2 linked regions of the Caenorhabditis elegans genome follow. The protein of the gene in region 1 purifies or fractionates together with the protein of each later gene. This does not show direct contact. Each region holds a gene or a part of one and is shown on either strand. Other genes may lie near its edges.

What was found. The genes of interacting proteins can lie anywhere in the genome.
Region 2: the proteins of K09C4.10 (region 1) and K05C4.3 fractionate together in Caenorhabditis elegans (co-fractionation; one large-scale study listed by BioGRID). This does not show direct contact.

What each region holds. Positions count from the first base shown.
Region 1 is NC_003284.9:3,275,506-3,281,992, forward strand, and holds K09C4.10 (SPK domain-containing protein), read right to left. Parts: upstream 4,726-6,487; 5' UTR 4,695-4,725; coding exon 4,638-4,694; intron 4,595-4,637; coding exon 4,459-4,594; intron 4,210-4,458; coding exon 4,032-4,209; intron 3,984-4,031; coding exon 3,902-3,983; intron 3,857-3,901; coding exon 3,720-3,856; intron 3,660-3,719; coding exon 3,463-3,659; intron 3,419-3,462; coding exon 3,241-3,418; intron 3,193-3,240; coding exon 3,097-3,192; intron 3,048-3,096; coding exon 1,857-3,047; intron 1,803-1,856; coding exon 1,617-1,802; intron 1,534-1,616; coding exon 1,376-1,533; intron 1,324-1,375; coding exon 1,078-1,323; intron 1,026-1,077; coding exon 945-1,025; intron 887-944; coding exon 702-886; 3' UTR 502-701; downstream 1-501. Other genes in the region: K09C4.7 (uncharacterized protein), read left to right, coding at 1-108.
Region 2 is NC_003279.8:14,748,102-14,755,451, forward strand, and holds K05C4.3 (F-box/LRR-repeat protein), read right to left. Parts: upstream 5,677-7,350; 5' UTR 5,616-5,676; intron 5,042-5,615; 5' UTR 5,038-5,041; coding exon 4,980-5,037; intron 4,935-4,979; coding exon 4,674-4,934; intron 4,214-4,673; coding exon 4,098-4,213; intron 4,051-4,097; coding exon 3,866-4,050; intron 3,810-3,865; coding exon 3,652-3,809; intron 3,602-3,651; coding exon 3,307-3,601; intron 1,583-3,306; coding exon 1,396-1,582; 3' UTR 1,044-1,395; intron 999-1,043; 3' UTR 517-998; downstream 1-516. Other genes in the region: mtx-1 (Metaxin-1 homolog), read right to left, coding at 7,240-7,350.

The sequences.
Region 1 (6,487 bases):
CCGCGTGATTCTGGTCTGATTCCAATTCCGTCAGAGATTCTAGGAAACAGCTTGCCATCACAGACAGCACTTTCAATGGCTGAAAAAATCGATTTTGTTGAAAACTAGCAGAACTCCTCTTGATAAACTGTTTTACCGCTTACTGCTATTCTTTTTTTTTTGTATTCTTACAATTACCAATATTGAGTTGCATGTTTTTCATATTTTCTATATTACATCTATTCTTTAATTTATGCGTTTTGTTTATAAACGATACTATGAGTTTTGAAAAAATATTATGGAGAATAAGAGTTTTTAATTAACTGAAAATTGTTCACAAAGCTAAAATGATATGTCAGTAAATTATAAAACTAATTCCACAGTTCTGTTCATCTATTAAGTAACATGCATTGATTTGTATGGTATTAAATCGTAAAATTCTCTTGATTTTCAAAAATAATCATACTTATTAAACTTAGATTTTAACTTATGTGTTTTCATTTTTATCATAAAGATTTGTCGTGCCAAATAATTATTCATTTTGAACTATTCAATATATATATATATATGCGTTAATGGAAACTGGGAAGCGAAAGAAAACAGGATTTGAGAATAGAGGAGAATGGAATTGTGACAAGAGACAGGAATGACTTAGAATATCACATAAAAGTACAGAATTTAAAACAAAAGTTCGAAAAAAAGAACGCATACTATGTGACAATTCACAGGTATTCTTCATATCCACGGAAATCCACACTGTTGCCGATGATCTTCAGAAGCACTTCTTGCTCCTTCATCAGAGCAAAGACTCGGTCGCCGATAGCCGCATACTGAGCACGAAGAGGCTCCGACTGTTCGAGTTCTGATACTCTGAGATCTATGTAGCGAAGGCCACGAGTTATCAAGTCTGAAACAGATTCAAATATGAAAAGGGCTGAAAGGATTCCAAATAAGTTGTGTGTTACCTGACTCATTGTTATCAGCAAATCTGGTATGCTCGGCAATTCTATCCAATTTTCTTCCTTTCAGTGTGTCGGCATTGGAATCTAAACAAAGGTTATAATAATCAACTTCAAACTAAACAAAAAATTCACTTACCAACAGGCTCGCCAATATACAATAGCAAATCTTTGATAACGTTTTTCTCGCGGATGTTAGTCGACTCAGCAGCCACATCATTATCCAAAATATAAAGCATTGCTTTGGCAACTCTCAAGCGGAAAACATAAACATTCTGGAACTTTTGGAGCCGCTTCTGGATGAGTGGTCTACGACCGTGCTCAACATTGCGAAGTCCTCCATTAGCTTTCTTGTCGGCAAGATACTTCAGGCGACGGAACATGTCTGCAAATTTTTTTTCCTGATGTGAAAAACTGAGAGATTTATAACTACATACCATGTAAAGCTGCATTGCACGCGCGTTCCACAAATTCAGGAGTTGGTTTTGCTAAGTTCACCTTCCTAGCGTCAAAGAATTCGGTGTCAAAAAACAGAGTTGGGTATGTTGGTGCAGATCTACTCTCCCGATTATTGTTGTCTGATAGACGTCCTTCTCTGAAAACAGAAAGTCGTAATAAATTGGAATCAGAATAAATAAGAATAAAATTTTTCAATTTTTCAATTTAAAATTCACCAACCTGTCATCATCCAACGATGGCAACTCGTGTGCAGAACTGCACGAAGAGCATTCGCTTCCGTTGCCGTGCCTACGAACGCCTGGTCGGTAGTCATGAGTTATTGTCTGCCCTGGAACATACGCATCTGAGCCCTCGTCCTCTGGCTCATCAGGGAGAGAAGTGTACTGAATATTGGAATGGGATACTCTGAAAATTTGAAATCATCAAAAATTTAATGTGGTACGTTTTGGGTACACATACGTTTCGGGCATCTGCAAAAGGTTTTGAGCTGCAAGCAAGGCATTATTCACAAAAGTAGTTGCCAAACCATCTGAAAACTGAGCTTCAACAGATTCCATCGGTGATTTTCCATTCTCTTCTTCTGGATTTATTGGCTCTTTGTCATTACTTTTTACGATTTGCACATCAAACTTGGCTTCAACAAAAGAGTTATCATCAGCTATCATCACAAGTTTTTCAATCGTCGATTCAGTTGCGTTGTCTTTTCCCTTTCCTTGTTCGCGCTTTGCCGCCTTTGCAGCTTTTTTAGCTTTTTTAATGGAAGTTTTAGTGGGTTTTGAGACCTCCTCCTTGTCTGTTGAAGAAGCTGAATACTCCTCTGCTGGAGTTGAGGGGAAATCTTTTTCCTTCTCGATATTGTACTTATTTGCATCCAGCGTAGTAAACTCTGATGCTTTCTTTTTTTTCGCAGATTTTAGTGAATCACCGTTTTCAGATTCACTTGAACCTTTCGAAATATTGAAATCAGATTTTTGATGCTCATTGCCATTTCCGTCATAACGTTCTTCAGATTTCGTAATACCCATTTTGCCAACATCTTGAGTTGTCTCTTTTTGCTTCTGACCGATGCTTTTACTCTTTCCCTTTTTGTTGCTGTTGCTCGTCGTTGCCTTAGAGACCACTTCTTTCCACTCTCCCACGTTTTCAGCGTTATCATGTTTTGGAGCATATGAATTTTCTGAATTTTCCGAATTTCCCGAGAGACATGGAATTGTGTTGGCAGACGTTGCCAAGTTCTGCTCAAGTCTTTGAGCACGCGGTGACGGAGAAGAGTTGTCTGACTTTGCAGGTTGTTGGTCTGTCTTGCTGAACTTTTCGACTATTTTTGCATACGAGAGAGTTGGTTTTGTTTGCTCGGTAGGCGTTGTGTTTACCAAGGTAGGCACATTATCGGTTGCTTCGACAGTGTCATCAATTCTAGACGATCCATTGGATATATTTTGCTCAATTTTGGTGTCTGATCCTTTCTCAATAGTTCCATCCTCGCGCTTTTCAGCAATATGATTTTCAGATCCATAAGCAACTGGGAAAATATCATTTTCCGTTAGTGGAGCAGATGTAAAAACCAGTGAGGTCGGAGCAACTTCTTGCTGAGCGCTTTGCTTGAAACTATTCATGAAGTCTATTCCAGATTGATGAGTCTCCAGGATACTGAAAGAAAATACTGTGCTGCATAAATTTTTAAAACAATGTAGTTTACATTTTCTCAGTCGGTGGAGCAGGAACTGTAGTTTCGTAGTGAAGTGTTTTGTTGAAAAATTTGTAAAATTTGGCTAGTGGCTTGGGTTCACTCCAGCTGAAAAAAAGATGGTTAATGTCGAAATTGGAGAGAAAGAAAGCTTACTCTGTAACCTCTTCATTCATGTTTTCGGTTTCATAGCGTTCGAGAGCTTTGACTCCTTGTTTGAACATTGCGTAAAAATATTTCACCGTGTTCTCATTTACACATAATCTGGATGTGGCCCACAAAAACTTTTCGCGCGACACTTCTTCTCGGGCTCTCATGAGACTTTTCACTTCCTCTGAAAACTCTTTAAGTAGGCTTCGACAAGGTAAATTTTCTTACCGGCAAGAGCAGTATAATCATCAACTTTAAAATTCATCATTTCAGTTGTATACCGAATACGGAACTCGCGATACTTATCCACAGAGTGCATTCCAAGAAAAGAGCATATCAGCTCCTTTGAACTGGGCTGGCTTTCCTGAATTGGAATTTTGTCTCCTTGAGCTTCCAAAAAGTTTTCTCTCCAATTGTCGTAGTCCCTGAAAAATTATAGTCTATATATGGATGATGTGAAACATGTAAAAGATTTCAAAACAAACCATTCAGCAGGTTTAGGAAGGTCTTTGCCAAAAATTAGTCGTTGTCGCCGGGCTCGGTGAGCAGCTTCCAATTCACCACATTCGTTTGGGCTGTCGAGTTTGTTGCTAAAAAGCCAGTCATACCCCGGGACGGGAAACTGAAAAGTGAAAAATCATTAAAATCATTTAGTGGCTAAACCGACTTCATCGAAAAGCTGCTCCCTAGTTTTTGTAATTTTCTTGTACTCCGCTACTCCGTCGATCACCCTTTTTGGTTCAGCCCACCTGCAAAAAAAAAAATTTCCTGGAAACCAAATGCACCATATTTCTTACGCATTTTTTCCAGAAAAATTTTGATACTCGAATTCACCAGTGAGATCGTTGTCAGACAAGTATTCGTTTATGAAACAGAGTGCGCCTAGGAAATTGAATTTGCCTCGGCTACGTTTGTACTCGTTGAAGATTTTTGAGATGTAGGACATTCTGGCCAAAAGCATGTCATCGGCAAGTTCTTAAAGCAAGAATATACTGATGATATAGTATGATGTAATGTAAGATTTTGATCAATCTCGCAGACTAACTTAACCGTTTTTGACTCTAACTAGGCCTATGCTAAAATTTATATAAAATTAGGCACACATGAAAATAGGCCTCACTATCACAAAACAATTTGCAACTTTTAATTAACAAACATCTGATAAAATCAAAAAGCATGGCGCAAAATTTAGTATGTAACAGCCTGCCTTAAAAAATTACTCACTTAAAATAGATGGCCTTGGAAGTTTTTCCAGCATATAATGAGTGACATAGGTGTTTTTGTTGTTGAGAGAAAAGCGAAGTTCTTTGTTTATTCCGTTTCCAAGATCCATATGGTAGCTGACGTAGGTCATTTCTCTCTGCAAACATTTAATGATACTGTGTCTTTGTATTCATTTATACCTTCAAATCTTCTTTGTCCGCCGACGACCTGAGAATCAAATCCCAGTTGGCGGACATGGTTTACCGTTTTTCGGTGACTCTATTAGTCCTGAAAATATACAAATTTTGCAAAATAAAGAAACGACAAAACTTTGAGAATAAGTGAGAGAAAGGGAAACCGTGGTTTTCCAAGAGCAAAAGAAGCATATAATTTTCTACAACGTTTGGCATAAGAGGCATGTTATTAGTCTATAACATGTTTAAGCATTCTTCAAAGCAATCAGTTTTGTGAGCCCCATTATTTCCTGCCAGTGTCTGTGTGAAGATAAACAGTAGGCGTGATTGATGCTCCTACTGAATAGAAAGTGAAAACAATTGTGCGACACACGAATGTGCATAAGGGAAAAAAGCAGGTCACAGTTGAGAGGCACAAAGAAATGGAAAAAAGAGGGCAAAGAGAAATGAATAAGGCTCGATTACTTGAAACAGACGGCCTAGAGCCGCAATGCGACCGCGCTGCTTATGAATATGTTGATGATAATATTTTTCTAGTAGTTGAAAAAACATCTATCTCGCTGGGAAAATTTTTTGTACTGGAAGTATCTGATTCACAGATTAAAAAAAAGCTTTCTGAAAATGAGATTCTCCACAAAATGCCTCTCACGTTTTACTAAAGAGAAAATGAAAATGGAAGCTTAAAAAGTTAGAAAGCTGTATAAAAATTTTATCTTAGAAATAAAACACCTGCATGTATGACATTTTCAGAAAATTCAGCTGTCTTCGCGTTTTCACAAGTTGTAAAAAAATTCTGACCACTATTGATAATTTAAAAAGTTGATAGCCTCTTTCAGATTAGTTCCAGAAAAAAATAGATTTTTTTTCATTAAAATCGTTCTAGAAGGATTCCATAAAATAGATGCGAGATTACCAGGACAACCAGTCAAAAAGTCCGCAACGCAGTGTGAACATGCACACACGACACCACACTTGACGACACTTCACACCCGTTCCCCTGCAAAGAGCATTTGTGACTTGTTACCACCAGAACGTTCAGGTTCAGAAGAACCTTGGTCATTGATGACACAATATTTTGAATCATCAAAAACAGTTTAAAATTGGGAATTAAAGAATAAGCACTAGAAATTAAACGTAAATAATATTTTTGTTACCTCATTTTTCTGTAATTAACTTTTGATTTTTAATTCTATAAACCGAATGCTAACTGTGAATTATATTCTGTAACATACTGTATACTTGTTGTAACCACCGCCTTGAAAATTGAAATAATATATTGGAAAACATGGCATCTTTATATAATTACTGGATTTCTTTAATATATTTCAAAATTTTGCTTTTCAAACAAATTTTGAAATATCAATTTGTATTATTTGTGAGTAATGCAACATAAATTTTTTACAAAATTTCACCGAAATTGCGATAAAGAATTTGGCTGTTTGAAAGTTCGAATTGAAGCATTAAATCGTAAAATTGAAGCAACTATTCGCGAGTTATGTGATCGTGCGTAATATGGGACACAAAGGTTAAAAAGTTTTATTTCAAAATTTCAAAATTCTGGTTAAAAGGTCTGGTGGTGCATTAATGAGTAATTAAAAATGAATAGGGAAATCTGAATTTTTACAATTTGACAGGTCGAGATGTAAGTTTTTTTTTTGGAATTCGTTTGTTGAAAATTTATAGTTTCCCCTTTTCGTAGTCATATGCTGCAGACAATTGGTTGGGACACTTGGGGTAGCTCTATATATTTGAATGAAAAATCGAATGAAAACTAATGACTCATAACATTAATCCCCACAGTCTCAGAAAAATCGGTATGCTATAAAAAAAGTTTATAAATTTTAACAGGAACTTGT
Region 2 (7,350 bases), on another chromosome or scaffold:
GGAGTCTCGGAGAATGCGTATTGTACAGCATATTTGACGCGCAAAACAACTCGTAGCGAAAACTACAGTAATTCTTTGAATGACTACTGTAGCGCTGGATTTTCGAAATGAATTTCTTTTTAAAAAAATCTAGCCCGTAATTCGACACAAGCGCTACAGTAGTCATTTAAAGAATTACTGTAGTTTTCGCTACGAGATATTTTGCGCGTCAAATATGCTGTGCAATACGCATTCTCGGAATTTTGGGTTCCTGTAATATGCAACGAAATAACAAGAGAAAAAACAACCAAAATATGCTATAAAAGGTGATACTTCAAGAAATGGCAACTCTGACAGCTGCGACACTGAAGTGTGCCGAATTCGAGATTTCAGCTAGAATCAGTGTAACTTTTTCGAAATTTTGAACCGCCATAAAACGTCTCACTACGAAATTCGTTTATTCGAGTAATGAATAAGTATGAATGTCTGCAATAACAATATGTATTATGCATTTATTTTTTCAATGGGTTTATACGATTCATCTTTTATTTCATCACGATTTTAATAGTAATAAATCAAATCAAATCAAATCAAATCAAATCAATAAGAGATTTTTTAGAAAAACTTATAAATTATATAATTGATTCAAACTCTTTAAAATTAGCTCTAACTCAACTTTCGCCAGATCCTTCTTCACTCTGACATTCTTCATCAAGTTAAATATATTCGATTCCTTTACTCGTTTTCTATAGTATTTATTTTGTTCCATCATCTTTTTTGTTGTATAAATAACCCAAAGGGTTGTTCCATCAAATTGTGTTGTTGCCATCACGCGCTGAAGAAATCTCAAATCGATATCAACATTTTCACTTGTTTTCAGCCGATGATAATTGTTTTCTAACAGTTCATTAACAGATTTCCAAAAACTTTGATCAACTTGATCAGAGTAATTCAGAAGGATCGCAAGAATTGAATAAAGAATATATAGTCTGTCTGTATTCCATTTGTTGAATATTTGTCTGAAATTTTCTTAGATTTCTGAGAGAAAAGTATGAGTTACTCACTTTAAGTACTGAACATCTACATTTATAAACTTGTCAAAATTTGCATTTGGAATACTCACTAGACTTCTCAAAATGCGAAGAATTCCAAGTTGAATAGTTTCATTGTCAAATCCCAATAAAAACTTGAACAACTCTTTGGCTCCTCCGTTTTCAATGACATGAAGGCATGTTTCTGGATTACTCATAATCGTACTGGACATCGTTTTGATGATTGTTCTGCATGCCCAATGATTCTGTAGAGACGTGCAATGCTCTAAAGTTCTAATGAGGATATTTGAGTCTTTGATAGTTTCCTTCGAAATTTTATAATTAGTGGTTTTTCTTAGAAAGCATTTTGCAATTATTTGCAATATTAAAACAATGAGTATCGGATCGGAATATGTTTCTTCCAGAAAACAAATATAAATATCGCCAACCAAATCGATTCCTTAAGTCCTCGCGTAATGTCTGTATCCGTTCGATTCAACGTATATGTAAGATTGAGCAATATACGTAACGATTTTGTTGCGTCAATTGGACGTAGTAGTTCAGCATTATTTCTGAAATATAGGAAATGTTCATTTTTTCACCGAAACCACCAAAACCAAAATCCACAACGACTAACATAGCTGGTGAAAACATTAAAGGTGGAGTACCGAAATCTGAGAAATATTTTTAAATGACTCCAAATTTGCCACTGATTATATATTTTTTCAACGAGTCGGTTTTTGCTAAAGTTTTTGTTATCAAAAAACTAGCCAAATTTTTGGTTTTCAATTGGGAAAAGCATATATTTGGATTTTCCGTCAAGTTGTGACCTAAGCAATGGAAAGTTTGTCAGTTTTTTGATAATATAAATTTTCTTTAAAAAATTTGGCAGAAACCGACGAAAATGGAGCAACCCCATTAAAAAACGGAAATCAGCATCCGATAAAGATTAAGGATTTCGTAAATATACACAAATCTCGTAAATCGACACATGGCGTCACTAACGCGAATATTTGGCGTTTGAAAAATCTCATGGATGCACAAGCGATTTTAAGATGAAATATGAAATCAGGCAATTTTAATTTTTTCACTCACAAGGAAAGGAAGTCAATCTAGTCCCGGACTTTAAATTGAGACGTATGCCTTTTGAAAGCTTATGTTTAGACTAGATCACCACAAAAATTTCAGCGGCGGAACTCAACTCTGAACCCCTGAAAGCGCCATCTGAAAGTGCTACAGTGCATTTTTTTGCTGAAGGTCAAGTAAATGGCCTTAAAAGTGGCTATGAGCGGTTAAAAATTGTTTTTGGGGGTCTTTAGTGTCAAACAAACAATGTGGAAGCTTTTTGGAAATTTTTATTTTTTTTGCAAAAAATCTGAAATTTGAGGCCAAATTTTTGGTCAAAAAATTTTTTTTTGAAAAATTTTCAAAACTATTTTTTTGTATCGGGGCATATAAAAAGGTACAAATTTCTTCCAATTGGGCCTTTTGCACCGAATATGAGGTGGTTTTTAAGCTTAAAAATTTCTTGAAATATGTAATGGATGTACCTTTGAAGGTTCAGAGCAGGGGTGTGCGGCAAATGGAAAAAATTGCCGAGCTCGGCAAATCGGCAATTGCTGGTTTTTCAAAATTTGCCGAGCTCGGCAAATTCGGCAAATCTCTTTTTTCAATATTTGCCGAGCACGGCAAATTCGGCAAGTTTGCCGTGCTTAACAAACTCGGAAAATTTTGATAATTTTTGATGTTTTTGGACCACCAAAACTACCGAATTCTTAACACACATCTGGTTTCTGAATTAGTTCCGTGTAGTCTTAGGTCTGCTTAAGCATCAAAATAACTCAATTTTGTGTCATTTTACTAAATTTTTGGCGAAAAAATCAATAATTTTAGTCAAAATTGTACTGTAAAATTTTTGACGTGTGCGGCAAATTTCGAAATTTGCCGAGCTCGGCAAATTCGGCAAATCTACTTTTTTGAAATTTGCCGTGCTCGGCAAATCGGCAATTGCTGGTTTTTTTTAATTTGCCGAATTCGGCAAATCGGCAAATTTGCCGAGCTCGGCAAGTCGGCAATTTTCGGCAAATCGGCAAATTTGCCGCACACCCCTGGTTCAGAGTTGAGTTCCGCCGCTAAAATTTTTGTGGTGATCTAGGCTAACCTTAAGCTTTCAAATGACATACGTCTCGATTCGAAGTCCGGGACTAGATTAACTTACTTTCCTTGTCAGTTATTCGGAATCAGGGAGTCATTTGAAAATATTTCTTAGATTTTGGTACTCCACCTTTAAACTCACGTTGCAATTTCTGCCACACAGAGTATTCCAATTGTATGTGGAGTGGTCGCGCTGCCCAGTGAACAAGTGTCCGTAACGAAAGTCTCAATCACACGGAAAATAATTTTCAAACAATCAGCCCAATCGTATTCATTGCGTTGTCTCAACAGAAATAACATATCTGACAAGCACTTTTTGGCAGGTTCACTTCGTTTCAAATCCGTGTAATAGTTGAGAGTTTCGAGAGAAGACGCCAATGTCGCTGAGTTGAGAACTGTAATTTTTGTGAGCAACGTCGAATACTGCAAATGGCAATCTGGAATCCAAATGTTTAAACTTTCGGGATCCAGAAACTTAGAAACTTGCTTAATAATGCAAATTTTTCAAGTTTTGGATGAGATCTCGACAATTTTGCAAATAGCTCTTCTTCAATGTCAGTTCCACTGCAATCCATAACTCTCAACGCTGGTAGAGCCATCCCACACTCCACAAACCTTCTGATATTTTTAGATGTCTCTAGTGGTCTCAAATATTTTGTGATGTTATTTGGGAATCTAAAAACTGAAAGTGGTGTACTTACTTAGATTTAGACATTTCTAGGGTTCTTAAATTGAATAATTTAAATAAATCCATCAAATTCTCGCAGTCCCTGAATTCCAAGTCTCTGATGCTTAGTTGTTGTAGGTTTTTCAATTTGGATATTCCTTTCAGGAATACTATGTAAGTAACCTTTAAACTTTTGAGGGATGGAAGCATATCCGAAATCTAGAAATTAAAAAAAAAGCGTTGTATTTTCAAGGAAAGAAAAGTACTTTGGTAGACCATCCATAAGAAACTAATCCGGCACTTCTGATCTCCAAATGCTTCAGCTTTGTTTGGGATCCCTTGTTCAGAATGTCATTTAGTATGCCGACAATGTTAATCCGTTCTGTAAACTTTATATTAGAAGGAACTTAAAGGATCTCATAGTCAGTTATATTAGTAGGAATATGAAAAATAAACTGCGAAAAAATCCGATGAAGTATGAGAAAGTTTGACTGAAAAACGCAAAAGAGCACACGGTTAGCTATTTTTGCAGAATTTTTGCACTAGTATAGATTATGTTAGCCAATGATCATAGATACCGTTTGCGGTAAAAACTTTCATATTAAGGCATGCTGGTGGAAGATATTCTCTAGTAAGCCTAACAGGTAAAAAATATATACCTATCACATTCAATTTGAATGGAAAAAGAAATGAAAATTTAATTCAATTTTGAAATGAAGGTATGTACTACACAAGTACCAAATTGTCTTGTGCATCATTGATTTTTTTGCAGTTTCCTTTCATATTCTAATTAATATGACTGAATATTACAGTTTAGAACAACAAACCCTCCTTCTACTCACTTATTCCACAAAAATAATCTCTATGCACAAATGCGAATGAACCTAAGGCAAGTGAGTCTAAACAATGAGACTTGGTCATTTTCATAGACTCATGGTGAATTAAGTTCATTTTCAAGTCGACATCTGTCAGGTTAAAGACGAGTCCTTTGATATCGTTGAGTTCACAAGACAACAGAAAACGGTTATTGAGGAGTGTCGCAAATATTTGATTACTGGATTTTGGATCCAGACTGCAGCTTTCTTTTCTGTTTTGATAGTGGCCTTTAATAGTTACTTTATATAAATGTGGTCGTGACATTAACTCACCTTTAGTGATACTTGTAATAACTTTATCAATTGCCAAATTATAAAGTGAACTTATCATTTTCCTGAAATGTAATTAACTGTGGGTAGTTAATCATATGAAGTATAAATATGAACATATGTGAATAGTATGCTAATAGTAAGCTGGTTTGGAAAAAAAGTTTCCAAGTTAGAAAAAACTAGACAGTAAATGTTTTATATGCTTCACATATTATTGGTTGTTTGAGATGAATAGATTGGGTCCTAGACTAGATCACATAGAAATGCTCCATTGATAAATCTCCAAAATGCAGTTTTCTCATGTGGCCAAGAAGAAGTCGAATCAATCATGAAAACTTATAGAAATTGTAGATTAGTTATGGGATTATGACACACAACTGTATAAAATACATTTTTTTAAAAAATGAATTTCAATACATTTGTGACGCCATTTTTCTACACTTTATAATTTTCCGACACTACTTGAATAACCCCATTGAATTGTTATTCAAAAAACTTTGTAAATAGGTTGAAACATTAATTGAACTATCATGCTAATAGCCATGTTTTATGTTGAAAACCTCCTCTATCAAAAAACCATACACTTTATATAATCGAAAAAAAAATTGAAACAACATAACCTACGAAAATAAAACCAACCTCGTATTTCTTCAAGGTTATACACCGTTTACAATGGTGAGTTTAGAGCAAGAAGGCTAAGAGAGACGCTACAAGACACTGTTCTACGTAGAAGACGCAGAATTATCTCAGCAGGCTCACAACAGACAATGTCTGTGCTCAGTCATATTACTTTTGGACCGGAGTGTACTCTTTGACCTCCTGAAATAGATGAATCGTTGTCAACTCGTTGTCGAGAACTTGTACGAGGGGAATTGTAATAAATGAATAAAAAATACAATTCTCTATCAATATGGTGTGTTCATAAGCTTGCAAGCTTAAGACTCCACATGTCTCAAATACTTATTAAACGCTGCAATATGAAGAAAAGCAAATTCGACATTTTGTAAACTCTTAAAATTTTTCAAAAAATTTCAATTTCACCAGAAGAGTTTCAATATTCTCGAGTTTTACAAAAAAAAGCTCTTTATTATTAAATATTTATGTTTTAAAAGTGTTGAGGAAAGTTCCTGATGATCGAAATAGTAAGGGAAAATAGTATAAGGTTAGAATGTGCTCAGGGGCATTCACTGAAAATTAAAACTTACCACAAACTACAGTAATCCTTTGAATGACTACTGTAGCGCTTGTGTAGATTTACGGGCTCGATTTTCGAAATGTTTCTTCGTATTATTTCTTCCCTTTTCGTTTAATTTTATTATTCTACATACTTATAAATAAATAATTTCAAAGCATTCCAAAAATCGAGGCCGTAAATCGACACAAGCGCTACAGTAGTCATTCAAAGGATTACTGTAGTTTTCGCTACGAGATATTTTGCGCGCCAAATATGTTGTAAAATACGCATTCTCAGAATTTTGAGTTTCCGTAATAGTTCTAACCAGGGCTGGGCGGAAAACGATTTATTCAGGCAAATCGGCAAATTGCCGGAATTTCAAATTTCCGGCAAATCGGCAAATTTTTCCGGAATTTATAATTTCCGGCAAATAAACTAATTGCCGGAATTGAAAATTTCCGGCAAATCAGCAAATTTGCAAAATTTAAAATTTCAGGCAAATCAGCTAATTGCTGGAATTTAAAATTTCCGGCAAATCGGCAAATTTTTCCGGAATGGAAAATGTCCGGCAAATCGGCGAATTGCCGGAGTTGAAAATTTCGGGCATACTTGCAATTTGCCGGAATTTCAAATTTCCGGCAAACCGATAAATTGCCGAAATTGACAAGTTCCGGCAAACCGACAATTTGCCGGAATTGAAAATTTCCTATCATTTTGTTCAAATATATAGTAATTAAAATTAACTTTTTTTAAAATTAACAATAGTTCTAGCTTGTTGAGGATCTTTCTTCCTTAAATGTATAGAAATTGATAATTGCTTTTTTGAGTTCGAAATTCATATCTGATTCAATTTTTCCTCGCTTCCGTCCAAATCCAACTAAAAAGCGCAAAAAGCTAAATTTCGGAAATAAAGCATTCATTATATTTACGATCCAATAAATCTACCAGAAAATGTTCTATGAACCAATAAAATGCAATCAGATGAACGTAGAGGGACTAGAAAATTTCTGATTTTGTCGTCTCGTGGGTGGCAGTAGGTAGGGGGCAAGCAAAAAAAGAAGAACAATTTAAAAAGAAATACAACAATTTTCACTCAGAGATCTCCTCTTCGACTGACACTTGAATCAGACCGGTATGAATTGCGAACACTAATGACAACGTGAGAGCTCCGAGAGTGAAGAGAATCGCATCCCGCATTGG